Linked DNA regions of Oryctolagus cuniculus. The protein of the gene in region 6 binds, or shares a complex with, the protein of the main gene of each other region. Links are inferred from orthologs where the notes say so. Each region holds a gene or a part of one and is shown on either strand. Other genes may lie near its edges. The genes, in order: GAS8, DRC12, IQCD, FBXL13, DRC1, EFCAB2 and IQCG.

What was found.
Region 1: EFCAB2 (region 6) and GAS8 share a complex: the UniProt entries of both Homo sapiens proteins name them as parts of the nexin-dynein regulatory complex. The link is inferred for Oryctolagus cuniculus from reciprocal best matches to the Homo sapiens genes DRC8 and DRC4.
Region 2: EFCAB2 (region 6) and DRC12 share a complex: the UniProt entries of both Homo sapiens proteins name them as parts of the nexin-dynein regulatory complex. The link is inferred for Oryctolagus cuniculus from reciprocal best matches to the Homo sapiens genes DRC8 and DRC12.
Region 3: EFCAB2 (region 6) and IQCD share a complex: the UniProt entries of both Homo sapiens proteins name them as parts of the nexin-dynein regulatory complex. The link is inferred for Oryctolagus cuniculus from reciprocal best matches to the Homo sapiens genes DRC8 and DRC10.
Region 4: EFCAB2 (region 6) and FBXL13 share a complex: the UniProt entries of both Homo sapiens proteins name them as parts of the nexin-dynein regulatory complex. The link is inferred for Oryctolagus cuniculus from reciprocal best matches to the Homo sapiens genes DRC8 and FBXL13.
Region 5: EFCAB2 (region 6) and DRC1 share a complex: the UniProt entries of both Homo sapiens proteins name them as parts of the nexin-dynein regulatory complex. The link is inferred for Oryctolagus cuniculus from reciprocal best matches to the Homo sapiens genes DRC8 and DRC1.
Region 7: EFCAB2 (region 6) and IQCG share a complex: the UniProt entries of both Homo sapiens proteins name them as parts of the nexin-dynein regulatory complex. The link is inferred for Oryctolagus cuniculus from reciprocal best matches to the Homo sapiens genes DRC8 and DRC9.

The regions. Positions count from the first base shown.
Region 1 is NC_091449.1:69,565,458-69,569,590, forward strand, and holds the start of GAS8 (dynein regulatory complex subunit 4), read left to right. Parts: upstream 1-1,333; 5' UTR 1,334-1,477; coding exon 1,478-1,594; intron 1,595-4,133. UniProt on the Homo sapiens protein: Component of the nexin-dynein regulatory complex (N-DRC), a key regulator of ciliary/flagellar motility which maintains the alignment and integrity of the distal axoneme and regulates microtubule sliding in motile axonemes.
Region 2 is NC_091432.1:111,112,813-111,116,816, reverse strand, and holds the start of DRC12 (dynein regulatory complex protein 12), read right to left. Parts: upstream 2,801-4,004; 5' UTR 2,739-2,800; intron 2,654-2,738; 5' UTR 2,581-2,653; intron 1,301-2,580; 5' UTR 1,289-1,300; coding exon 1,219-1,288; intron 888-1,218; coding exon 822-887; intron 1-821. UniProt on the Homo sapiens protein: Component of the nexin-dynein regulatory complex (N-DRC), a key regulator of ciliary/flagellar motility which maintains the alignment and integrity of the distal axoneme and regulates microtubule sliding in motile axonemes.
Region 3 is NC_091452.1:10,280,515-10,284,727, reverse strand, and holds the start of IQCD (dynein regulatory complex protein 10), read left to right. Parts: upstream 1-1,413; 5' UTR 1,414-1,635; intron 1,636-4,213. UniProt on the Homo sapiens protein: Component of the nexin-dynein regulatory complex (N-DRC), a key regulator of ciliary/flagellar motility which maintains the alignment and integrity of the distal axoneme and regulates microtubule sliding in motile axonemes.
Region 4 is NC_091434.1:141,323,819-141,327,318, forward strand, and holds part of FBXL13 (F-box and leucine-rich repeat protein 13), read left to right. Parts: intron 1-1,747; coding exon 1,748-1,909; intron 1,910-2,483; coding exon 2,484-2,616; intron 2,617-3,500. UniProt on the Homo sapiens protein: Substrate-recognition component of the SCF (SKP1-CUL1-F-box protein)-type E3 ubiquitin ligase complex.
Region 5 is NC_091433.1:176,389,139-176,392,638, forward strand, and holds part of DRC1 (dynein regulatory complex protein 1), read right to left. Parts: intron 1,333-3,500; coding exon 1,220-1,332; intron 321-1,219; coding exon 231-320; intron 1-230. UniProt on the Homo sapiens protein: Component of the nexin-dynein regulatory complex (N-DRC) a key regulator of ciliary/flagellar motility which maintains the alignment and integrity of the distal axoneme and regulates microtubule sliding in motile axonemes.
Region 6 is NC_091444.1:64,976,838-64,980,825, forward strand, and holds the start of EFCAB2 (dynein regulatory complex protein 8), read left to right. Parts: upstream 1-1,188; 5' UTR 1,189-2,187; coding exon 2,188-2,212; exon of another isoform or gene 2,213-2,725; intron 2,726-3,988. UniProt on the Homo sapiens protein: Component of the nexin-dynein regulatory complex (N-DRC), a key regulator of ciliary/flagellar motility which maintains the alignment and integrity of the distal axoneme and regulates microtubule sliding in motile axonemes.
Region 7 is NC_091435.1:82,163,111-82,165,277, forward strand, and holds part of IQCG (dynein regulatory complex protein 9), read left to right. Parts: intron 1-1,784; coding exon 1,785-1,919; 3' UTR 1,920-2,167. UniProt on the Homo sapiens protein: Component of the nexin-dynein regulatory complex (N-DRC), a key regulator of ciliary/flagellar motility which maintains the alignment and integrity of the distal axoneme and regulates microtubule sliding in motile axonemes.

The DNA.
Region 1 (4,133 bases), on a different chromosome or scaffold from region 6:
CGCTGGAACTCTCTTTCGGCGTCTTTCAGAGGCTCGTGGCCAACGGCCCCTCACGGGCGGGCCCCAGGGGCCGACGCTGGGCGCGAATTTAATCCGGTCGTGCTGGGCCCTCGGGTGCTCACTGGTCCTCGCGCCCCGCACTCCGCGCGGGAGGCAGCCGCACGCACCCTGCCGGAAACGCCCCGGCCCCGGCCCGCGCGCGGTCTCGCGAGGATTCCCGCGAGGATTCCCGGGGCGCGCGCTCGCCCGGCGTTGCCGGGAGACGGCGCAGCCGCGGCGGCGGCTCGTTCGCGTGGAGTTCGCGGCTGGGCCGGTCAGCGGCGCCATGGTGAGGACTGGCGGGAGTCGGGGCCCGGGTCCGCGCCGCGGGGTCTGGGCCCGGCGTCGGCGGTGCCGGCCGCGGGCGTCCCAGCGAAGGCGGCCCCGGGTCTGAGGTGCCGGCCTCGCGTTTGCGGGGGATCCCGGCGCGCCTGTGGGACCCGCGCTGTCCCGCGTCCTGCGCTCGCTGGGGTGTTCCTCGCGCCCGCCCCGCCCGCCCGGCTTGCACGGTGTGCAGACTCGAACGCCTGGGTGGCGGGGCGTCGCCTCGCAGGGGCTGCGGCGCGCGAGGACCTCCGGGCGCTGGGGCGCTGGGGCGCTGGGCGCTCAGAGCGTGCGGGGCCCGTGTCCAGGCGCTCCGGGAGCCGCGGCTGGCCCCGCAGCGGGCCGCGAAGTGGCGCCGAATCTTCCTCCAAAGCCCTGCGGGTGGGGGGTACGCGGACGGCCCGGTACCTTAGGAGTTACGGTGCTAGTTGCTAGTCTTGAAAAGCAACGGGGGAACATCAAAATAAGCTTGCGGGAATGTGGGCGGTTTTCTTTCTCTCGAATCTGCATGTGACATTTGCAGTAAGTCTTGCAAGTGCGTGGCATGGAGGGTGGTTGGGAGTAAGAGAGGCAGGATAGGGTTTGAAAGTTCAGTCCGGCCCGAGCCTGGGCGCCCTGGGCTGGGGAAGAAGCCTTGCTCTCAGCCCGGTCGTGATCACTCGCAGTGGGTGCCGTCTGCCCAGGCTGTCTAGATGCGGGTTCTCGGTGGAGTTTCATATTCGGGAAAAGGAACCCCCAGATGGCCAGGACTGATGGTTTTCCCTACGTCTGCCTGCGGTGGTTACCGGGCATTATGGCCGACCCGGTCACATCAGCGAGGGACTAGGGGTCTTCCTTTATGAGCATATACCAAGGGGTGAGTGGGTGTGCAATGGGTGCCTGCCTTTTGGAAGGAGAGCCCGTTCCTCTCTGGCCTCGCCATGTGTGCCGAAGGGTAATCGTGTGGCTGAGGCGCAGGGCAGATGAACACGCTCCGTGAGTGCTCTTCCGGGCACCCCAAGGCCCTGGACAGAGAGGGGCACGTTCTGCAGCGGGGACTCGAGCCCAGCCGGCCCAGGGGGAAGGCCGATTGGCGGTCACCCTACGTGGTCACCCCACGTAACCGTCAACAAAGATGGAAGCAACCTTCTCTTCTGTAAACAAGGCTCCCAAAAGGAAAGGGAAGAAGGGCAAGGCCAAGGGCACCCCGATCGTCGATGGACTCGCGCCGGAGGACATGAGCAAGGAGCAGGTGAGCTTCCCGAGCCCGTCTGCCGCCCCTGTGCCCACGTGTGCCCACAGCTCTCCAGCGCGTTGCGTGTCTGCTCGCGTGCCGCGCAGCCGCCTGCAGCCGTGTTCTAACAGGGTGGTAGGAATGTGGAAAGACATGGTGTCCTGGTAGGAAAGCTGTTTTCCGGGGTTGGTGTTTGGCCTGGTGGTTAGGACACCGTGTCCCTTATCCGAGGACCTGGGGCTGGTGCCCGCCCTGGGTCCTGACTTCAGATTCCTGCAGTGCAGAGGCTGGGAAGCAGCAGCGATGGGTGCGGTGACTGGGCCCCTGTTTCTGACGTCCAGCTTTGGCCTGGCCCTGTCCGGGCTGATGTGGACGTTGGAGACTGAGCCAGTGGATGGGAGCACTCTCTCTCTCAGATAATTAAAAAATGAAAATATTTTTAAATGCTATTTTTGTAACCCTTTCAGGTAGCTGGTGTTTGTAGAACTGTTCCCATAGCACATACATGCAGCGCATTCTCTTTTATTTTATTTCCTATTAAGCACTATAGCAAAAAGAAAGTCTTTAAGCAGAACGTGACTTACTTCAATCACATTGTCTGAGTCTGATTAATCATTCTTTTTTTAAAAGATTTATTTATTTGAAAGAATTGGGGGGTAGGGAGAGAGAGAGAGAGTGTGTGTGAAGAGAGAGAGATCTTCCATCTGCTCATTCTCTCCCCAAATGGCCACAACCAGGGCTGGACCAGGCCAAAGTCAGGAGCTGGAGCTTCCTCCGGATCTCCCACGTGGGTGCAGGGCCCGAGCACTTGGGCCATCCTCCGCTGCTTTCCCAGGCCATTAGCAGGGAGCTGGATCCTACGATGAGCAGCCAGGACTCAAACCCATGACCACGTGGGCAGAAGCTTCCCCCGCACCACAGCGCTGGTCCCTCGTGCTTGTTTTTACAAACGTTCCAACAAGGAGGAACAGTGTCCGGCTGCCTTCGTTGTGGCCTTCTTATTTGGGGCATGGGGTGATGTCTGTAGTTACTTTGAGACATTTTAAGCTGCTTGTCCATTTTGGTGTAAAGGGCTAGAGAACATCATGATGTCATTAAAATCTCACTTCCGATTGGGACACGTGGCAAACGCGGTGTGTCCTGTGGCATCCGTGTTGGCGGGACGCCCCCCCGTGAGTGTCTCTGGGGCCTGAGGGTGCTGTGTGAACTCAGGTGGCAGGGTTAATAAGCCCGAATATGAAGGAGCTGAAGTGCGAAGGGGTGCTCCAGGGATGTGCGGGAAGACCACGCAGTGCCGGCAGAGGTGTGGTGTGGGCGGGTCCGTTAGGCTGGCGGGGGAGCGTGGGTGCACGGGCGTTGCAGCGACCCTTGTGCTGCTGTCTGCTCCCTGTGGAGGTAGAGCTGCCGCGGCAGCAGGCCTGACACAGGCCTGGTTTACGGCACGTTGTGCAGTCCAGGAGTGAGGACAGGGACTGGCATCACCTGGACACGCGTGCCCCTCTGCTGAGGACATGTGCGCAGTCTATTGGATTCTAGTGCTGTTTTCTAATTTTTCAGGAGAAGCTAGAAATCTGGATATTTATAAGAAATCTAAGTGTTGATTGATGACGAGATCTAACTCTGTGTGAGCCACACAGAGCAGCTAGGTACCCTGGTTTAACTGTTTGTTCTGTGACCTGGTGACACGTGCCATTTTGCTGCAGCATTTGTGAGATTCTGGGGTGGCATCCTCCCTCAGAGGCCTTTGCCCTGCCGAAGTCCTCTGTGCTGCGCCCCCTTTTCTCTTCAAGTAAGACGTAGTGGTTTCCCTCGGGGACAAGGTTTTAGGAGAGAACAAACTTTACAGAAAGTGACCTGTGGCTATACCTGAAAGAGAACTAAGTCTTTATTTTTTTTTTTTTAGAGATTTATTCTATTTATTTGCAAGAGTTACAGAGAGAGAGAAAGAGATATATCAATATGAATATCAATCTTCCATCCACTGGTTCACTCCCCCAAATGGTTGCAATGGTCAGAGCTGAGCCGATCTGAAGCCAGGAGCTTCTTCTGGGTCTCCCACATGGGTGCAGGGGCTCAAGTACTTGGGCCTTCCTCCACTGCTTTCCCAGGCCACAGCAGAGAGCTGGATCCGAAGAGGAGCAGCCAGGACTTGAACCATTGCCCTTATGGGATGCTGGTGCTGCAGGTGGAGAATTAACCTGTGCCACGGCGCCAGCCCTATAACTAAGTCTTAAGTGGAATGAGATGCCAGGAAAGCTGAAGCCTGTCCTACTTTTTTTTTTTTTTTTTTTTTTTTGACCTATTTGTAGTTTTGCAATAGGCTGTGGGCCAAACCCTCTTGTGTTAGGAACCTTCTGGTTCTCTGTGCTTTTACTGACATTGTGCCTTGAAAAGTGAATGTTCTTTCACTTAATGTTATTTTGTGAACATGTTTACATGCTTCTTCTAATTTACTTTTATTTATCTGCTTAGTTTTGCTATTATAATACTGCTGAGGCTAAATATCTTTGAGCCAGAAGCTCTTGTGTTTCTTTTGAGAAGTTTCCTCAGTATGAAT
Region 2 (4,004 bases), on a different chromosome or scaffold from region 6:
TGTCCTGGGAAAGCAGTGGAAGATGGCCCAATGCCTTGGGCCCCTGCACCTGCCTGGGAGGCCTGGAAGGAGCTCCTGGCTCCTGGCTTCGGATCAGTGCAGCTCCAGCCATTGTAGCCAACTGGGGGAGTGAACCAGTGGATGGAAGACCTCTCTCTCTCTCTCTCTCTCTCTCTCTCTCTCTCCTTCTCTCTCTATGTAACTCTGACTTTCAAATAAATAAATAAATCTTAAAAATAAAAGACACCTGGGGGCAGGGCACCCCACCTCTTATTCTTTCTCTTTCTCTTTCTGTTTTTTTTTTTCTTTTTAAGTATTTATTTTATTTATTTGAAAGGCACTGTGGCAGAGAGAGAGAGACAGAGACAGAGAGAGAAAGATTGTCCATCCACTGATTCACTCCCCAAATGGCTGCTATGGCTGGGGCTGGGCCCCAGTACTTGCACCATTACCGGCTGCTTTCCCAGAAACATTAGCAGGAGTTGGACTGGCAGTGGAGCAGCCAGTGGGATGCTGGTGTCGCAGGTGGTGACTGAACCCATGTCACCACAATGCCCGCCCCTTTCTGTCTCTCCAGGTTGTTGGGTCATTTTATTTTCCTAGGATCTCATGAGCTTTTCATTGCTAAGGAGTAAAACCTCCCTCCATGTTCTGGCTGTAAATAATAGCGTCCCTCATCAGCCTTCCCTGTCCTGTTCCACTAGGGGATGGTTAGGGTTTGGCGTAGCTTCCACCGTGGCTCCAAACGTCCAGTCCCGCCAGGACACAGCAGCGCCCCCACTGCTCTGCTTCTGTGGTCCCAGATAGCTCACCCTTCTTACCCAGCCGGTCTCGGAGCAGCTCCGTCTCCAGCACCAGCTGTCTGTGCTTGGACTCGGCCTCCACATCTGTCCTGGCAAATGACAGAGCCTTAGCTTACATGACCCCCGCCCCCGGCCCTGGACTCCGTCCTGAGCCAGCTCTGAGGGCTCCCTGCGGGCAGAGTCCATTCAGCATGCACCGTGTGCTCCCTGCCCAGCACAGATGAGGCATTCAACATATGGGTGACCAGTGGGGAGGCACAGAGCTGGGCGGTCTCGAGGGAGGGCGTGGGTGACCATTCCCCCATTCCTCAGCTCCGTGGAATCTGGACAGCGAGGACTGTGCTGCGGGCCTCTGCTTGGTCTCTGTTTCAGAACCCAGAGAAACGGGCACCCACCCCCACCCACGACGACTCACCCGGCCCTGGGTTCTTTTTCTTCTTCTGCACGCCGGCTTTCCTGCCTTTCTGTTTGGTCTTGGGTGGCATTTCCTTGCTGTCCTGATGGAGGGAGGGGACCTTGCTTTCAAATCTGGACAAGGGGATCCTGAACCAGGAGTCTTGGGAGGGTCAGAAGTCTGCTTTCCAAGTCTGCCCCTTTCTCTTGTTTTAAAGACACAAGTCTTTCTTTTTTAAAGATTTATTTATTTCAAAAAAATATTTATTTAGTTGAAAGCCAGAGTTGGGGCAGGGGGTGGAAGGAGAGATCTTCCATCTGCTGATTTAGTCCCTAAATGGCCCCAGTGGCCAGGGTTGGGCCAGGCAGAAGTAAGGAGTCTGGACCCCTGATCTCCCACGTGGGTGCCGGGGCCCCAGGACTTGCCCATTCTCTGCCGCCTTCCAGGCACATTAACAGGGAACTGGATCAGAAGTGGAGCAGCCAGGACTTGAACTGGCACTCGAATGGTACTTTAGAAAGTTCGTGGGATACAGACTGGGCATTCGGTCTAGTGGTCAAGACGTCCACAGTCCATATCAGAGTGCCTGCTGCACTCCTGGCTGCAGCGCCTGACTTCTGCTTCCTGCTGCAGAGACTCGGGGAGGTAGCAGGGTGATTCAAGCAGGTGGATTCTTGCCACCCCCTTGGGAGAACTGGACTGAGTTCCCAGCTCCCAGCTTTGGCCAGGTCCAGTCCCAGCCATTAGGGGAATTGGGGGAGTGAACCAGCAGATGGGGCCTCTGTCTGTCTTTCTGTCGGTCTCTCTCTGACTCTCAACATAGTTACAATTAAGGGAGAAATGAGAACAACAACAACAACAAAAGAACAAAAAAGTTAATAGAAAATACAGTTAAATCCATTCACAGTTTCTTTCTTTTTTTTTCTTTTTTCTTTTCTTTTTTTTTTTTTCTTTTTTTGACAGGCAGAGTGGGCAGTGAGAGAGAGAGACAGAGAGAAAGGTCTTCCTTTGCCGTTGGTTCACCCCCCAATGGTTGTTGCAGCCTGCGCGCTGATCCGAAGCCAGGAGCCAGGTACTTATCCTGGTCTCCCATGGGGTGCAGGGCCCAAGCACTTGGGCCATCCTCCACTGCACTCCCTGGCCACAGCAGAGAGCTGGCCTGGAAGAGGGGCAACCGGGACAGAATCCGGCGCCCCGACCAGGACTAGAACCCGGTGTGCCGGCGCCGCAGGCGGAGGATTAGCCTAGTGAGCCGCGGCACCGGCCCACAGTTTTTTTTCACAATACACATGTTCTATGAGCTTTTTGAACATCCCTCAAATATACTTGGAAGAATTTTTTGCACCAAAATAAGCTTGTCTTTTAATTACATTTCCCACAAACCTTTACTTTCCAGAAGCTTCAGTTGCCGGTCTCCTTGGAGCCTCAGGCGGGGCTGGGGTCAGTGGGGAAGACACTGCATACAGAAAGCTGTTACTCTCAGCTCTCTTGGCGAAGATACATTCCCATAGCTGTCCCCTCCCTCTTGCCTTCATCCTTACCTCACCTCCACCACTTGTCAGACCCTCTCTTGCCTGTGTTGGGTCTCCCTGTAGAGTGAGCCACTCGTGGGGAGAGACAGAGAGAAGGCCCAATAAGCTAGGAGCCTGAGGAGGAGCCTGCGTCCTGGGAGCCAATCCAAGGCAGCACATTTTCCTCAGGGGGCTGGACTGAGAACTGGAAGGTTGGGTTTCTGGAGGTTGCATGTTGCCCAGGCAACTGAGCAACATGGAGTTCATGAGAAGGTGCAATAGGCCAGATCAACTCACAATGCCTAAAAGACCAAGGTCTGGGAAAGGTAGTTCTCCTTTCATCCACAAATCCTAAGCATAGTTTGAAAAGAAAGGGCTTTGGAGCAAACTAGCTGTGATTCACTTCCACGTAGGTGCTGTCATTTGGAGACTCAGAAATGACAGATTTGCACGGCTGAGACAACACTGTTGTGCGGATGTGGAGGAAAAGCGTGATGGCAGCCGTCTTGGACGATCCACATCCTGAGATCCTATTGCAAGATGACCTTGTGCTGAAACCGGAAGCGTCCCTTCGGCAAGGCATTCTGCAGGGTGCAGGAGCAGGTGCTGGGGCAGACTTCCAGAAAAATGAGACACAGAGGAGTGAGGACCCGTAGACTCTGGGGTATTGGCTTGGCGGGATGGACACTGGTTAGGGACCAAAACTGCAGCACAGGCCCCCTCTCTGGAGGTGGAAGCTATTTAACTTGGTTTAGCCTGCTTCCTGCCTTTTACATCACGGAGTTGGTAAATTCTGAAGGTCCTGGGTCTTGACTGGGTATTTACATGACTGTCTTATTGCACCCACTGAATCTATTGCCTTTAGGTGGTTGATTTTCAGAAACTACCTTGAGGGGCTCCCTGTACCATAGAGTTGGTTGGGGCTCCCTCTAGTGGACTCGCTTGTATTCCCAAGTCTGCTAAATTTTTTTTTTATATAGATTTATTTCATTTATTTGAAAGGCAGAACGACAGATACAGAGAGAGACAGAGATCGTCCATCTGGTTTTCTCCCTAAATGCCAACCACAGCCATGTCTGAGCCAGGCCGAAGCCAGGAGCCCAAGACTCCATCCAGGTCTCCCACATGGGTGACAGGGGCCCAAATGCTTGGGCCATCAGCTGCTGCTTCCCAGGCGCAGTAGCAGGAATCTGGATTAGAAGTGGAGCAGCTGGGACTCAAACCAGCACTCTGATATGGGATGCCCGCCATGCAGGCAGTGGCTTAACCTTCTACGCCACAGTATCTGCACAAGGT
Region 3 (4,213 bases), on a different chromosome or scaffold from region 6:
CTCCTATTCATTCTGAAAGCAAGAGGCTCTTAACCCCGTCAGGCCAGCGCGCACAGCTCCCTAAATTTCCTCATTATTGTCCTACTGGTATTTTAGGTTTAACTGTGTAACCCACGACAGCCTGCTTGCACGGATGTCCCTCCCGGCTCAGGGGCTCTCAACAGGATTGACTTTGCTCACCAGGGGTGGGGGCTTGTCCGTGGGCAGAGGCCAGGGAGACCACTACACCGCCTGCAACTCACAGGTGAGACCCCTCTCCCAACAATTAAGAACCACCCGGCTCAAAGTGTCCACGGTGCTGCTGTGGGGGACCCTGTCTCTGCACAGCCCCCCCACCCCGCACAGGTGACGGGGGCTTAGCCGGCTTAACTTGCCTCTTACAAGTAAACTCCAGCTCAGTCCCAAGTCCTCTCCTCCCTGTAACCTACTCGCCGCACCGTCCCCCAACTTAAACTCGAACCCATCATTTTACAGAGAGGGAAATGGGGCCCAGAGAGGGAAAGGGGTTTGCCCAAGGTCACACAGTGCACAGCAGCGCTGGGACCCGAGTCCTGAGACCCAGCCTGGGCTCCCCCAGTGGGCTCTGGTCCACGGACAGCCCAGAAGGTCACCCCTAGAGACAGGTCCTGGGGCCTCGAGGCCAGCTGCCGTCCCGCTGTTCGCTGGGACAACCCGACCGGGCACCGGTCTCCGCAGGGTCACCCCAGGGCGCCAGGCAAAGGAGCGGGCCAGGGAGAAAGCAGGAGGAGGGAGTGCGGCTCCAGTTGCACGTGCTCCCTGCCCGGGTCGGGGCGCCCACGCTGGGGTCGTCCCAGGAAGCCAGGGGCGAGGAAAAGGGGTGCAAAGCTTCAGCGCGGACTGGAGAGAGAACAGCACGGCCGGGACTTCCCCGTGCTCCTTCGGGGCTCGCCCTGCCCGCCTCCCACACGCGGGTGCCCAGACGCAACCCCTAACTCCGCGCCCTCTGACCCTCGACCCCTGCCCTCTCCCTCGGCCAAGCCCTTGCATCCCTGGGATTCTTACACGCGCCGCCCCAGCAACCCGGACCGCGCACCGGGGTCCGCACCGTGCAGCCCAGCCCGCCGGCGCCGCCACCAAAGCGCCGAGCCCGGAGCTGTTGCAGGGGCCGCAGCTGCCGCCACTTCAGCCGCTGCCACCACGGCAGCTGCGCCAGCTCTCCCTTCCACCGCCTACCGTCCCTTCAACCCCGCCGGCCCCGCCCCATTCCTCCTCCGCTGCGGCCTACTGGCTACCTGGGCTGCCATGCTGAGTTCTGATTGGCCAGGCGTCACGTCCTTCCTCAGTTCTCGTTTGCTGCCCAAGCAAGACTGCCTGCCCGCCTCCTTAAAAAGGGGCGGGACTAAGAAGCTCCGCCCTTTCCCACCCGCCCCGCTTTATTCACTCAGCCCAACCCAGAGAAAGTCCCAGGTCTTTCAATTGGCGGAACAGCAGCGAGGCGTTGCTTCTGATTGGTCAGACCTCAAGAGGTGGGGCTCACGGACCAAAACAAGAAATTGAATGGTAAAAAGCAAAGTCAGTCAGACTCCGAGGCCCGCCCCCTGAGACTGACAGGTAACCTAGCAACGCGGGCACCGCCGCTGTAACTGCAGAGAAAGGTGGAACCCCTCGGAACCGGTGAGTAACCGGGGTCCGCCCTGAGGTCTGGGACGCCGAGGAAAGTGGGTTAGGGGCTAGTCCGCGCCCCTCAGCTCCCTGAGGAATAAGTAGCCCCGTCGCCTCGCCGTCCCGGCTCCGGGCCTCGGGCTGGACCTCGCTTTCCACCGCCGCGGGGGCCACAGGGCAGCCCCCTGTGGGCTCTGCCCGCTTCGCGGCCCCACTCCCACCCGAAACGGGGGACCCCGTCGGCTCCCCGTCTTAGCTGGCTTCCCCCGGTCAGACCCGGCGCTGGGGGTGAGCGCGGCTCCGCCCAGCAGCCCGGGGCCTTTGGGGTCGTCTGGGTCCGCACTCGCTCCGGAGTCTGACTCGCATCTCCGTCCTAGAGCGGGGGCTGGCTGTGCACTCGGGCAAGTGTGGAGCCGCAGAGGTTAGCTGTGTGTCAAGCGGAGTAAGCGCTCAGTGACGGGGCTGGCGCCGGGCTGGGCAGCACAGCAGGTGCTCAGCGAGTATTATTATTATTTTTTTCTAAAATACATCCAGCCTTGACTTTTCCCTCTTAACATGGCTCCCAGGGTGTTCTGTTTCCCACCTTAAGTATTTATGAATTCAACAAGTGTTAACCAAGTGCCTGCCGTGGTACTGCGGTCAGAGGGATAAGCAGAATGACCGGCACTCCTGCCCGCTGGGAGCGTGTGGCCTAGGATGGGAGACAGTCACGGGAGAAATAATCCACTGGCAAGTGTGAAATTACACCCCAGGGGACTTCCAGAAGGTGGGGTGGAGGCAGGAGAGGGGGGTGGTGCGGCACGGGCAGAGTTACAGTCTGGGCGGTGAAGACGGTTCTGGGGATGGAAGCGTGTGAGTGGGGGTGTAACGGCCTTCAAGGTTACTAAAATAAAGGGCAGGGTTTGGAGCAGTGGGGGAGAAGCCCCCGGAGTCGCCTGCGTCCCTTGTCAGGACGCCTGCTCCCTGCTAGTGCACATCTCAGGAGGCAGCAGGTGACGGTGCCGGTGTTTGGTTCCTGACACCCACCTGGGAGACCTGGGTGCAGTTCTGGGCTCCTGGCTTCAGCCTGACCCAGCTGTGTTCAGTGTGGGCATGGGGAGCGAACTAGGAGATGGAAGGAATCTCTCTCTCCCTCTCTCTCTCTCTCTCTCTCTTTTCAAATACAATGGAAAAAAAGATAACATTTATGTTTATTTTATCACAATTTTATCAAGATTTGTTTTTATTTATTTGAAGGGCAGAGTAACAGAGAGAGGGGAAGAGACAGAGGAAAAAGGTCTTCCGTCGGCTGGTTCACTTTCCAAATGGCCTCATCAGCTGGAGCAGGGCCAGGCTGAAGCCAGGAGCCTGGAACCCCATCTGGGTCTCCCAGGTGGGCGGCAGAGGCCCAAGCACTCGAGGCGTCTTCCGCTGCTCTCCCAATCACATTAGCAGGAAATGGAAAGACAAATTGTGGATGTCCCATGCGATGCTCTTAAGCGATCAAATACGGAAAACGGGCTACAGTGCGGGTGAACCTCAAAAACTGTGTGCTCTTCAGGATTTCTCAATCTCAGCCCTACTGACATTTGGGACAGATAATTGTCTCTTTTGAGGCACTGTCTTGCAAACTGTAGGATGCTTAGCAGTGTCTCTGGCCCCTACCCCCTGGATACCAGCAGTACCCTCTCCAAGGTGTGGAAAGCAAACGTACTCTGGATTATTTCCAGATACCCCCTGGAACATAAAATCACTCCTGGTTCAAAACCATTGTGCTAAGCAAAAAGCCACAAAAGATTCCATACCATATGACTTCACTTATATAGAATAGCCAGATAAATGAAGTGTGGGTGGCACCAGACATTGCAAATTAGTTCATGGGAATTGGGGGAGTGAGGGGAATGTTCTAAAGCTGATTCGTAGGGATGTGGCATAACTGTAAGTCTGCACTGTCCCCTTGCAGTGGGTAGATTAGACCTCAACAGGTGTGTGCCATAAATATGATGCAAGGAACGGGCAGAGGGTTTGCAGGGCTTGGCGTGTGCTCTCTGTCCTCGGCTGCGGAGGAGCTGCCATTGAGCCGAGACCTAAGGAGTGAGAAGTTCCCAGTCTGGGCCTGGGGATCGGTCTCTGGTCAAAGGAACATCAAATGTGGAGGTCCTGGAGCCAGGGCGGTCAGTCGAAGCCAGAGTGGCCACAGCTCAGGGGCTGTGAGCGGCAGACTTTGAGACAGGCGGCTTCTCCTCGCTCAGCCCCTACTCCTGTTCCCCCCTCCACACCATCTCACTGGCACCCACACCACCAAAGTAGGCCTCCGCCTGAACTCTGTCCTCTCCCTCATCCCACGGACTTTACCTACCCTGTGCATCTCTGTCTGGCCACTGCCTTGTCCCCGATGAGGCCACCCGCATCTCCATGGACGACCGTGACAAGCTACACCGTGACAAGCACCTGCCATGCTCCCCTCCCCCGCCACACACACTCTCTCTCAAGCTACAAAGCTGCCCATGTCATTGCTTCAAACCCCTCTGGGACCTGTCACTTCCCTCTCCGAGCAGTGAGGGGAACTATGATGGCTAAATGTCCTAAGTCGGTCTAATTAGGGGGCCTG
Region 4 (3,500 bases), on a different chromosome or scaffold from region 6:
ACCACTCATTACTTGATGGCATAAGTGATCATCATTGTTGAGATTACAGTGTCATCCAAGAAACAGATAAGAGAAGTCTTTGGGGAGACAATATTTGATTTTTTTAAGAAGATCCATGCTAGCGTTGTGGTGCAGCAGGTTAAGCCACCGCCAGCAGTGCTGACATCTAATACAGGTACTGGTTTGAGTCCTGGCTGTCCCACTTCCCATCCAGCTCTCTGCTAATGTGTCTGGGAAAGCAGCAGAAGGTGGCCCAGGCACTTGAGCCCTTGCTACCCACAGGGTGACCTGGATGGAGTTCCTGGCTCCTGGCTTCTGCCTGGCCCAGCCCTGGCTGTTGTGACCATTTAGGGAGTGAACTAGCAGAGGGAAGATATCTTTGTGTCTCTCTCTTTGTCTGTAACCCTGTTTTTCAAATAAATAAATAAATCTTTTAAAAATAAAAAATAAATATTTATTTGAAAGGCAGAGATCTTACATCTGCTGATCTATTCCCCAAATGGCTGCAATGACCAGGGCTGGGCCAGGCTGAAGCCAGGAGGCTAGAACTCCATCTGGGCCTCCCAACTGGGTGGCAGGGACCCAAGCACTTGGGCCACCTTCTGCTGCTTCCCCAGATGCATTAGCAGGGAGGTGGATCGGAAGCACAGCAGGCAGGCCTTAAACCGGCATGCATATGGGATTACAGTGTTGCAAGCAGCAGCTTAACCTGATGTGCCACAATGCTTGCTCCCAATATGTCCTTTAATTTTGTTTTAATTGTTGGAGTCTTCTCCCCAGTGTCTCTTTGGAATGAAAAACATAAACTTGTTCCAGGTTTCAAAAATAGTACTAGGGCAAGAATAGTACTATGTAGTACTAGCATAGAAGTCTGTATTGGAAAATGCTAAAGTGTATTTTTGGCTGTGTGCATGCAAAGGCATCTGGCAACAGGTTTTTCTTACTTACATTTTAGTCTTACTCCATGCTCAATTTAAAAAATTTCCTTACTCTATATTTTGTGCTGGTCTGTTCTATTTTTTTGAATTAATAATAGTAGCTAATATTTATTGAGTGCTAGTTGTGTGGCACCTTACTTGCCTTTTTCTCAGTTTATCCATTGCAGAGTTAGGCATTGTTATTTTTCCCACTTTACAGATGACAGAACTAAGGCTGAGCGAAGAAACTGCCCAACTTGTTAAGTGGCCAAGATGGAATTCAAATACTTGTCTGTTCAACTACAGAGTGTGTGCTCTTGATTAGCAAATATTTATAAGGGACTGCCAGACCTGCCATTTGCTTTCCACCTAGCAGGCAGCATAAAATTTCGGCTCCTCGAGTTCTTGTAATATAGTCTTGAGCTCTCAGATCCCAGTCTCATAAAAATGTTGGCATCAAGGAGTCATATTCATGAAGGATTTGAGTCCGGCACATCTTCTAAATGTTGTAAATTTTGTCCTTCCATTGAATCGTCCAATCAGGTTTTCTCCTTCTGAGTTGTATTTTCTTTGCTCTAAAGTCAGCTTCAGTCCAGTGTTCTTGTTTGTTGTTGTTTTAAAGATTTATTTATGTATTTGTAAGTCAGAGTTCCAAAGAGAGAGGAAGAGCCAGAGGGAGAGGGATGTTTCATCCTCTGGTTCACTCTACAGATGACCACAATGGCCAGCACTGGGCCGGTCCGAAGCCAGGAGCCAGGAACTTCTTCCAGTTCTCCCACGTGGTTGGTAGGGGCCCAAGTGCTCGGAACATCTTCTGTCGCTTTTCCCAGGTCATTAGCAGGGAGTTGGACCAGAAGTGGAGCAGCCGGGATGTGAACTGGTGCCCATATGGGAAGCTGATGCTGGCTTCACCTGCTATGCTGCCATGCCCCGCCCAGCGTTCTGTTGTGTGGAAGCCCTCAGTGTATTTCATGTCTTCTGTTGGAGGGCAGGTACGCTGTTCCCTGTCTTCTGCTGTTAGCTCCTGCAGTGGGTATCCTGTCCTCATTCCCAGGACACACATGTATGATCATATCTTCAGGGCCAGCTCCTGGAGGTGGAGTTATTAGGATGAAGGTGGATTTAGAATCATTAATGTGTACAGAATGATGGCGTACCTTCTGCTTCAAAACTTTTCTTAACATCTCTGCTCTTTGATATTTGATATCTCGTTGCTATTTTAATTTGTCTCAATTCACGAGACTGGACATCGATTGACTCATGTTAAGTCAATTGCATTTGTGTTTTTTATCCTACTTCACTGTATTTTTTATCCGTCAACCTAAATCATTTTTAGAATGAAAAGGAATAGTGTGTGCATGTGTGAGTGCATGTATATGTGTGTATGTTATTTTTGAAATTTGCATACTCTAGTAAATAGAGCGCTCAGATTAACATTTCACACTTTTTTTCTATTGGGGAATTAGGTGATGAAGAGCTTTTAGTACTTGACATTTTAAAATATTTAAAATATTTACATGACATAGGTATTTTTCATTTCTTAATGTCTTTGTTTATCCTGTCCAGATTGACTTTTCCATGGTGAAAAATATAATTGCTGATAAAGATATCGTGACTACACTGCACAGGTGGCGTCTAAATGTGCTGCGTTTGAATTTCCGTGGTTGCGTTCTCCGACCGAGAACTTTGAGATCTATTGGTATGTGCCTTCACTATAGCTACTGGTCTTGCTTTCCTGTTTTCTAATTAAATCAGTAAAAAAAGAAAAGAACAAATAAAACAGAAACTTTGGTGGCATTGTTAGGTCATAAGGATGCCAAAAACAAATATTTAAACAAAGGGACAGACATTTGGTGCAGGGTTAAGATGCTGCTTGGGATGCCCACATCCCCTATCAGAGTGATTGGGTTCAAGTCCTGCCTCCATTTCCAATTCCAGCTTCTTGCTAATGTGCACCCTCATAGGCAGCTGGTGATGGCACAAGTACTTGGATCCCTGCCACCCACACGGGAGACCTGGATAGAGTTTCAGGATCCTGGCCTCAGCCTGACCTAGGCCTAGCTATCAAGGACACTTGGAAAGTGAGCTAGTGGGCCGGCACCGTGGCCCCATAGGCTAATCCTCTGCCTGCGGCTCCGGTACCCCGGGTTTTAGTCCCGGTTGGGGCGCCGGATTCTGTCCGGGTTGCTCCTCTTCCAGGCCAGCTCTCTGCTGTGGCCAGGGAGTACAGTGGAGGATGGCCCAAGTGCTTGGGCCCTGCACCCACATGGGAGACCAGGAGAAGCACCTGGCTCCTGGCTTCGGATCAGCGCGGTGCGCCGGCCGCAGCGGCCATTGGAGGGTGAACCAACGGTAAAGGAAGACCTTTCTCTCTGCCTCTCTCTCACTGTCCACTCTGCCTGTCCAAAAAAAAAAAAAAAAAATGTGAGCTAGTGGATGGAACATTCTCTCTGTCTCTGTTTCTACCTGTCTCTGTGCCTTTTAAATAAGGTAAAACAAATGAACAGGAGTTGTACATTCAACAGTTGGTCTTTGCCCATTCTTCTTCTTTTTTTAAAAAAAGATTTATTTATTTATTTGAAA
Region 5 (3,500 bases), on a different chromosome or scaffold from region 6:
GAGAAGTTGATGACAGGCGGCTGCACACACAACTGCGAAGCCAGGGCGCACCAGAGACGCGGGCAGGGTGCAGCCCGGGGACAAGCCGATGGCTGATGGCTGCGTGCAGGGGCAGGGCAGGGCAGCCCGGAGCCCAGTGGCACTCTGGGAGACCCTGCCTACTCCCAGGGTGGAGACGAGTTCCAGGTCGGGCAGACGGGGCTGTCCCCGGCCCGGCCCGCGGCACTCACCGAGAAGATGGCGTCCAACCGCAGCAGGTAGCACTCGCTCGTCTCCAGGGGCAGGAGGAGGCTCATCAGCTTGCTCTCTATGAGGAAACCCTGAGGAGGCGCAAGAAGGTGGCTCCAGTCAGAGGGGGGCTTCAGCCTGCGGCTGCGCACAGGAGCAAAACCCAGGAGGCGAGCAAGGCCTTGTGCGCATGCCCGAGCCTCTGCAGGGGCACGGCCAGGGCCTGCCCTGCCTCAGACATGAGTGCCCTGCACCCATTCCCCTCAGCCACCAGCCACTGGGCGCACACCCAGGCCCCCCCCACAGCGGTCCAGACCCGACCCGGTCACAGCACTGACCCCCCAAGTGCTGCAGAATGCCGAGCTGGGCGAGGGGCAGGCATGGAGCGAGGCGGGCATGGGGGCCCTGAGCGCCTGGGGCGGGCTCCCCGCAGCCTGCAGAGAGGGGAGGCCCTGCCAGCTGACTCCCTCAGCCCCGGTGCCACAGAAAACTACCCCAGCTGTCCCCAGGGGACAGAGGCCGCCCATCCTTGCTCCCCCACTTCCCTGCACCTCAGAACCACACACTCTAAGTAAGCACTCAGCGCGGCTGAACCAGCCCTAAGTGTCGTCGCTGACACCCGGTGCAGATGCCCAAGCCTAACAGACGTCCAGCAGCCTGAAGCTGCGCCCCCAAAGAAGGGCCACAAGGCAGGGGGCCTCACCACTTGGCGGGGGATGGGGCTTGCCGGCCGGCACCCCCTCTATCTCACAATGAGCAGTTGGCAGCAGGCACGGGGGCGTGGGCACGGGGGCGTGGGCACGCCCAGCCTCCCTTGCCGGCTGGCCTGGCCCACAACCTGAGGAGCCCCAGGGGCAGCACCACCTGATAGCTGGGCCAGCTGGGCGCGGGGTGCAAGCTCTAGGCCTGGTGCCCGGCCATGGCCGGGGTGGGGCGCCTACTCCCGACTCCGGGCCCCGCCCAGCCCCGACGCCGCCCAGCCCGGCCTCACCGACTCGTCACACAGGAGCATCAGGATCTTCCTGGTGGTTTTTGCTGAAATCTGCTTGGGCAGGTCCAGGTAGGACTCGGCCTCCGAGACGGCCTCTTCTGCCCCTTCCTCTTCTGCAGAGGCCACAGAGAGGGGACAGAGAAGAGGTCATCTCTCGGCCTGTGGACTTGCAGAAACAGGGCTTTTCTTGAGCCAAGTTCCCTCCTGAAAGGCCTCGTGGAGACCCCATCAGTGGCTGCCCACTGCAGGAAGAGCCGCAAGTTCAGGAAGTAGGAGAAAGCCCACCGCGTGAGGGAGGGGGCCTGGGCTCAGAACTGGGGCTGTCTAACACCTCACTCCTCCACCTGCACCTGCCGGGCGCCCCATCCCCACAGGCCAGCCATGGAGTCCAGCAGGCATGCAGCCTCACTGCGCAGACGCCGGCAAACGCGAGCGTGCCCACACCACGGTGCCTGGGTTCCATTCCTGGCTCTCACTTCTCGCTGCAACCTCCTGCTAATGTGCACCCTGGGAGACAGCACCAGGCCACGGCCCAAGAGGCCGAGTTCCTGCCAGCCAGGAGGGAGCACGCGGGACATCCGATGGAGGTCCTGGCTCTGGCTTTGGCCCAGCACAGCCCTGGCTTTTGCAGGCATTTCACAGTGAACCAGAGGATGATCTCTCTCTCTCTCCCTCTTTCCCTCTCTCTCTTTCTCTCTCTCTCTCCCTCTCTCCTTCTCTCTATCTTTCCTTCTCCTTCTCCCAATACCTTGCAAATAATAATAGAAAAATTCTATCCATGAACCAGGAGGTGCAGGGGGAGGGATGGTGAGCCTGGTAGGTGTGCTGTATTATTTCTTTCTTTTCTTTTAAGATTTACTTATTTACTTGAAAGGCAGAGTTACAGAGAGAGAGCGTGAGGTCTTCCATCCATTGGTTCACTCCCCAAATGGCCACAACGGCTGGAGCTGCACTGATCTGAAGCCAGGAGCCCGGAGCTTCTTCCAGGCCTCCCACATGGGTGCAGGGACTTGGGCCATCCTCCACTGCCTTCTAAACCTGCAGCAGCTTAAAATCAGCCAGCTGAGAGAGGCAAAGGGGCTTCCTCTGAGGAACGTTACTGACATGAAGCGAGGGCCAACAGCAAGAGCCACCACGCAGAAAGGAGAGTGGGCACAGGGACCACTTAAAAAACCTGCTGCTTTGTGCACACGCGCGGGTACATGGGTGTGCGCATGTGCATGTGTGTGTGCATGTGCGTGTGTGTGCGTGTGTGAGAGTGTGTGTGTGTAGTTTTTAAACAAGCACTGGAAGCAGAAGCCCTGGGTTGTAACAGCCGTTGTTAGAGAGGGATGGAATAGGGTGCAGAGAGTAAATCGTGATCTCTTTGTTCATTTGACTTTGGAAGCATGTAAATATTTTACTTAACTGCAAAACAAATTAAACTATAAAGAGCAATCCTAATAATCAAAAGTAAAATTTGGGACTGGTGCTGTGGCATAACAGGTAAAGCTGCCATCTGCAGTGCCAGCATCCCATATGGACACCCGGTTGCTCCACTTCCAATCCAGCTCTCTGCTAAGGCCTGGGAAAGCAGTGGAAGATGGCCCAAGTGCTTGGGCCCCTGCACCCACGTGGGAGACCTGGAAGAAGCTCCTGGCTCCTGGCTTCGGATCGGCACAGCTTCGGCAGTTGCAGCCAATTGGAGAATGAACCAGCAGATTAAAGACATCTTTCTCCCTCTCTCTCTCTCTCTCTCTGCCTCTCCTCTCTCTCTGTGTAACTCTGACTTTCAAATAAATAAATAAATCTTAAAAAATAAATAAAAATAAAAGTAAAATGGAACAGCAGCAACAACAACAATAACAGAAGAACCGCTGCGCATCCAGCTGCTGACGTAACCACACAGGCCATTCCAGGTGGCTGCGGGATGCACTGCTCTCAGTACAAGGAGAGTGGGACACGGCTCAAGAACAAAAGGACTACAAAGGATCTCAACTGTTGCTACTTCTCACCTGTTGCTGGTAGGCTTGATATTTTCTTGGGAGAGTAATTATTTTGGAGTCACTGAGCACCAAGAGTTGCAAGTTGCAAGAAAGCAGATACACTTGATAAGGTTAATGACCATCCTGGCACCCTGCTGATGGTTAGGGTGAACTCCGGATTTATTTCATCATCAAAACATGATTCCACACCCTGGGCTCTGTCCCTTGGCCTAGAAACAACAAGGAGCACCAGAATCCACAGTGTGGTTCCAGAATCCTGTTCCCGATTCAAAGGGCCACGTGTCTGTCCCTTTGAA
Region 6 (3,988 bases):
TTGTAGATGTGGATCTTCTCAACAAGTCCCCGTGAAGACTAATTCTTAATTGTTGATCTATGTATTATTTGAGATAAAAAAACTGAGGAGTTGTTCCAGGCACCAGGGACATATGGCTGAGTGAAGCAGTTCCCTCCTCTGGAGGGAGGAAAGCCATAGCAAATCAGCGTGAGAAGCTCCCTGAGGAAGGGGTTGAGAGGGCAAACTTGAAGGAGTAGGTGACCTTGAAGGTCATCAGCAGGACAAGCAGCAGGGGACAGCAGTTTGTGGGAGAGTGCCTGCTGGTGCACGGAGAGCTGGGGACAGGCATTCCAGAAAGAAAAAAGCCTGCCAACAGCTAAGCAAAGCCAGAGCAGTGACAAGTGAGCCCGAGAGCAGATTTGGAGTTTCCTACTTTCTTCAAACCCTTCCTTATTTATATGGAGAGCCTTTAAAAATAAATAATTAGCACACAATGAGTGTAGGATTTAAATATAAATGAATGTTAATGAGTATTTCTGGGTATTAAGAACATACTATATACAATTGGAATCATTTTATGTAAGCATTTATCTTCCAATACAAGCTATTTTGTGATGATTCAATTGTTTATATTCAAATTCACACAGAATGCTGATCACAGCACCAAATGATATCTTCAATAGGAAAATGCATTTTTTAAAGGATTTATTTATATGAAAGTTACTTAGAGGGAGACATGCTGATTCACTCCCTAGATGGCTGCAATGGCTGGGGCTAGGCCAGGCCAAAGCCAGGAGCCAGGTGCTTCAACCCAGCCTCCCTCATTAAATGGCAGGAGCCCAAACACCTGGGCCAACTGCTGCTTTCCCAGGTTGATTTGCAGGGAGCTGGATTGGAATTGGAGCAGCTGGGACTTGAACCAGAGCCCCTATGAGACAGGTGGTGGCTTTATGCGCTGTGTCACAACACCATCCCCCCAAATGTGTATTTTTATAATGAAGAATACAGTCAGTTTGCTTTAGGGCTTACTCAGATTACAGAACCAGAATAAAAGGAGCACTAAAAACTGTTAATAAAATCATTAAATATGTTGTATTTCGAAGGCCTCTTAAAAAGTTATGGTTACCGGTTTATAAATCAGTTTTATGTTACAAATTGTTTAGCACATACACATACACACTGAAATACATACACATTGAAATAGTTTGAATAAATGACTCGTTTGAAACACATCATCAGGATTTTATTGAAAGCTCTTTTTCAGAAGAAAATATCCTAGTGAACATAGCCTAAAAAGAAAAAAACTGCCATGACACTGTCACAGCTGCCGAGTTTCAGGAAAGCACTTTTGAAAACTCCTATGATAACAACGCAGGTCAAGCCAGATTTCACCAGAAAAAAACACATTTAAACGTATGCAACACCGAGCACAACCCAGCCCCATTTTTGTTGCTAGGAGAACCTTCTATTTTGTATCAGGCATCGCAGCCTTGACGACGCAATGTTTGCGCGTATTTTGCACATGTTTTTCTACAGCGACTCCTCTCCCGCAGTAATAATAGTCGAATGGCTCTGGTTTCCTCTTGCGCCCGGCCCAGTTTTTCCGTTGCAGCCCCAGTTCTCACAGGCGGCGGGGCGCTCGCTGGCTCGCTCGCTCCGGGACAGGGCGGCGCGGACCGGGGGACCAGCGCGGCTGTGAATGGGGAGGGAGGAGGCTGGAGGGCGGCTCGGGTCTGCCCCCCTTACCCCCCCAGGAGCTGAGCTCTTCACCCAGCAGCTCTGGCTGCGTTTCCAAATCGGCAGTTTGGGGAAAAGAAAAAAAAAAAAAAAGCAACGCCACGTCTTGCAAACACGAGGGGAGGGGGCGAGCACTCTGTGCGCGCGCGGCCCCCAAGGGGTGAGAAAGGAGGGGCCCGGAACCTTGTGAAATAAACTCCCCTAGACCCAAAGTCCCCGGGCTCGGGCCCCCGGGCTGGAGGGCGACACCGGGTCCAACGGCCGACCCGCCGGCGGCGCGCGCGCCCGAGGGTCGTGGCGGGAAGCGCGCCAGCTCCCAGTGTTCCCTCTACCGCCGCCCGGGGTCTTCCTTCCCCACGATTCCGAGCCACCCCGCCTCCAGGGTGCGCGGGGGTGCGCGGGGGAGGGGACCCGCAGGGGGCAAGGACGCCGGGACCGACGTTAACCGTTAACGGTGGGCTTCTCCCCGGCGACCGGCGCGGCTACAAGATGGCGGATGATAGAGAAGGTACAGGTAGGCGCGCCGAGGGGAGGGCTGCCCTCGTCGCCCGCTGCGACCCGGGGCTGTCCCGGCCGGGGAGGGGCGGGCCACCCTCCATCTTGTCCCTGCCGCGGGAAAAGGGTGGCCTCCGGAGGGTGCCCTCCCGCCCCCGGCCCCGCAGCCCGCCCGGGCCGCCGCCGGGCCCCGCCCCTCCCCTCCCCTCCCCCGCCCCCGCCAGCGGCGTCCTCCTCCCCCGCCCGCGGAGGCCCGGCCTGCTGCAGCGCGGGCTGCGGAGGAGGCGCCGGCCCGCGGACGCTGATAATGGCGTCGTTGTTCACGGTCGCCGCCGCCGCCTCCACACCCTGGTCGGGGTCTCGCTGCCGCAGGCGCCACACCAGCAGCTGTCCCGGCTGTGGGCACCGGGGGGCCGGCCTGGCCGGGGACGGGTTCTGGCCGCCCAAATCTGGCGGAGTCCGCTCAGCCCGCGCTGAAGCCCCGCCCCGGCCCCGGCTGGATGGCGTTTGCGGCCACCATCTTGCCGCCTCGGTGAGGACGCGAGAGGACGGCCTCGGGGTCACAGCCGCTCCTGCCGCGCCTCTCTGGTGGTGGGACTCGGGGCTGCACCTCGTCCGGCATCTTAAAAACACAGAAACAGTAACGGCCCACGCAGCTGTTCATAAAGAGGGAAAAAGCGAGAGCGGGCGGGGCCGCGCTTGCGCCGCGGTGCGCGGGGCGGTCTGGCCGGGTTGCGGCGGGCCGAGAGGATTGATGTGTTGCCCGTGCGGAGCCGCGGATCCCTAACATCCACGTTTAGTTTTCAAGGGCCCGGACGTTGTCTTTAATTCAGGGCTGTGATTTAAAATCGGGTCCTCGGTTAACCGTCCTCTTAGTCACGCCAAAATAATTGTTTGATAATTGGCAAAAACACCGAAAGAATTACGAGACCGTAGAATCGAACATCTTAGAAGTGAAAAATCACACTCTACTTTGGTTTCCTTTTTGGAGCCTTCAGAAAAGCTCTATTTTTTTTTTTTTTTAAATCAAAGAACAAAGGTAGTTTGGGCTCACAGCTAGGGTTTACGTGAGCTCCCCAGTCATGGTGAGCCCAGAAGATCTGCGCAGACAAACGTGAAACCGTGCCAAAGGCCTACTTACTTGATGACAGGCATACTGATTTTTATAGTAATCCGGGAAGGCAGGCTTATTTTATTCATTTTGCTTTTAGCAAGACTTAACCCAGAAAACGGGATGTTATTTTGATCTATTGTTATTATGTACCAAAAAGGAGAAAAATCATCACAGATTTTTTTTTTTAAATCTGATCAACCTAAAAATTTTTTTTTAAAGAGGTTGGGAGCTTCCCATTTTTTTCAGTTTTCAACGAATACTTTTTTCTGTTGAAAATTAATTTGGATGAAGATGTAGTTATGTGTATAACCATAGAAGAAGTAATAAGTGGTGAAAGCTGGCTGTCTTTTATTCAGTTGTCATTTGTTTAATGCTTGTCCTATGGAAGGCAGATTCAACACAGATGACAAGGACATCGAGGTCAGTGAGGGAGATAACACACACAAATGGGAGGGGACAGGTAACCAGGCTGAACAACTTTTGTGCCCAACATTATGGCAGGTGTAATGGACTCAGGCAATCTGGGCGTCACTGGGAGCTTACCAGAAATGAGCGGTCTCAGGCACTGCCCTAGACCTACCAAATCAGAGACCTTGTTCTAATGTATCCCTGGGTGCTCCATATGTGCATTAAAGTTGGGGAAGCATTGTTGTGTGCTGTATCTCATTTATTCTTAAAACA
Region 7 (2,167 bases), on a different chromosome or scaffold from region 6:
GGATGCCAGTGCTTCAGAACAGGGCTTTAACCCGCTGCGCCACAGTGCCAGCCCCGGAATGCGATTTCTAACCAAACCAGCTCTTGCCAGAATGATTCCTTTGAATGTACTGCTCCCTAAAGTCTTGTCTGCAAATCAGACTGCTGGGTTCTGATAGAAGCGGGTTAGGGATTAAAGACCCTAGTTAGTTATGTGTGAGCTTGTGTATATTAGTAACTGTGGCAGCTCACAGTTCCTGGGAAATACTTTCAGGCAAAAATGGTGATGCAGAAGTCCTGTGAGCTGGACTGACATGCTGTCCTCAGACTGCCCTTCTCCCCGCAGGAGGGCCATCTGCTGAGCCCTGGTGGGCAAGCAGCTTTCAAGTACACCTGGGACCAGGCACGCAGACCCAACCCGAGCTTTCTTTGAGCCAGGTCTATATAGTTAGCACGTATTTATCAAGCTTCTATGGAGTTTTCCATCCATCAGGATTCTTCTATTTAGAGCAAAAATGTAAAGAAGCTGAAGGCCACTTATATTTCTCTTCACTGGTGGATCTGCTTCCCAGTCACTAGGACTTAATTTGATTTTTTTTTTTTTAAGATTTATTTATTTGAAAGTCAGAGTTACACAGAGAGAGGAGAGGCAGAGAGAGAGGTCTTCCATCTGATGGTTCACTCCCCAATTGGCTGCAATGGCCGGAGCTGTGCTGATCCGAAGCCAGGAGCCAGGAGCTTCTTTTGGGTCTCCCACGCGGGTCCAGGGGCCCACGGACTTCGGCCATCTTCCACTGCTGTCCCAGGCCATAGCAGAGAGCTGGATGGGAAGTGGAGCAGCCGGGTCCTGAACCAGCACCAATATGGGATGCCGGCACTTCAGGCCAGGATGTTAAACCTCTGTGCCACAGCACTGGCCCCACTTAATTTGATTTTAAAGTGGACTACAGTGTATTCAGAACAGTTACATCTAACAGAGGTATTCAAGGGAGCTCCCTAGAGCTTTTTTTTTTTATTTTTTTATTTATTTTTTTGATAGGCAGAGTGGACAGTGAGAGAGAGGTCTTCCTTTTCCGTTGGTTCACCCTCCAATGGCCGCTGGGGCTGGCGCGCTGCAGCCGGCACACTGCACTGATTGAAGCCAGGAGCCAGGTGCTTCTCCTAGTCTCCCATGCGGGTGCAGAGCCCAAGCACTTGGGCCATCCTCCACTGCACTCCCAGGCCACAGCAGAGAGCTGGCCTGGAACAGGGGCAACCGGGACAGAATCCGGCGCCTCGACTGGGACTAGAACCTGGTGTGCTGGCGCTGCAGGTGGAGGATTAGCCTGTTGAGCCACAGCACCGGCCTCCCTAGATCCTTTTTGAGAGTAAGAGGCAAATGGGTCCTTTACTCAGTTACTACAGATAGGAGATGTACCAGGAAGCCCAAGGTCATCTGGGCTCATCTGCACATTTTTGATTGAGTGCTTGCTTTTCCCCCTGCCCAAGCACCAAACACTGTTGGTTATGGGGCACCTGGGTGTCCATTAAAGGAAGCAGCCGTACAAGGAAGTCAGGTATCTAAGTGGGAAGGACTATTTGGCAAAACAGATTCCTTCCTGTATCCTTAGTCCTCAAGAACTTAACTCAAGTCCATGGCTTTAGCTCTGGGTCCTGTGCAGCAGGGAAGCATTGCCATGGTGACTGGGTACCTAGCCACTTCCATGTCCTAGGCAGAGACCATTCTCTGACACAGGTTACCTGGTTCAAAAACCCCCTTAGGTGGAAGGCCCACCAGAGGTGGTACTCACACGTCCTGTCTTTCAGCTTCAGGCCTGGTGGCGCGGCACTGTGATACGGAAGGAAATTGGTGGCTTCAAACTGCCCAAAAAGGAGAAAGATGATAGCAAAGAATCAAAAGGCAAAGGCAAAGACAAGGACAAGAGGAGAGGCAAGAAGTGACTGAGCCATTTCTGTCCTTTCTCCTGGTGTTCCAGAGATGGGAAGGGGTGCTTGGAGGGAGAATGATCTCTTTGCACCACAGGTAACTAATCCAAGGTTAACTTGGACTCGGCAAGGGAAGGCTGGTGGTTTCTTTTTGCCTGTTGCATTAGTTTTCAAACCCTGAATCAGGAGTGTACTGTTGACTTCAGGTGTCCTTATATTCTGAATGCTGCCGGCAAGTATATCCAGTAGCCTTATGAAGGTTC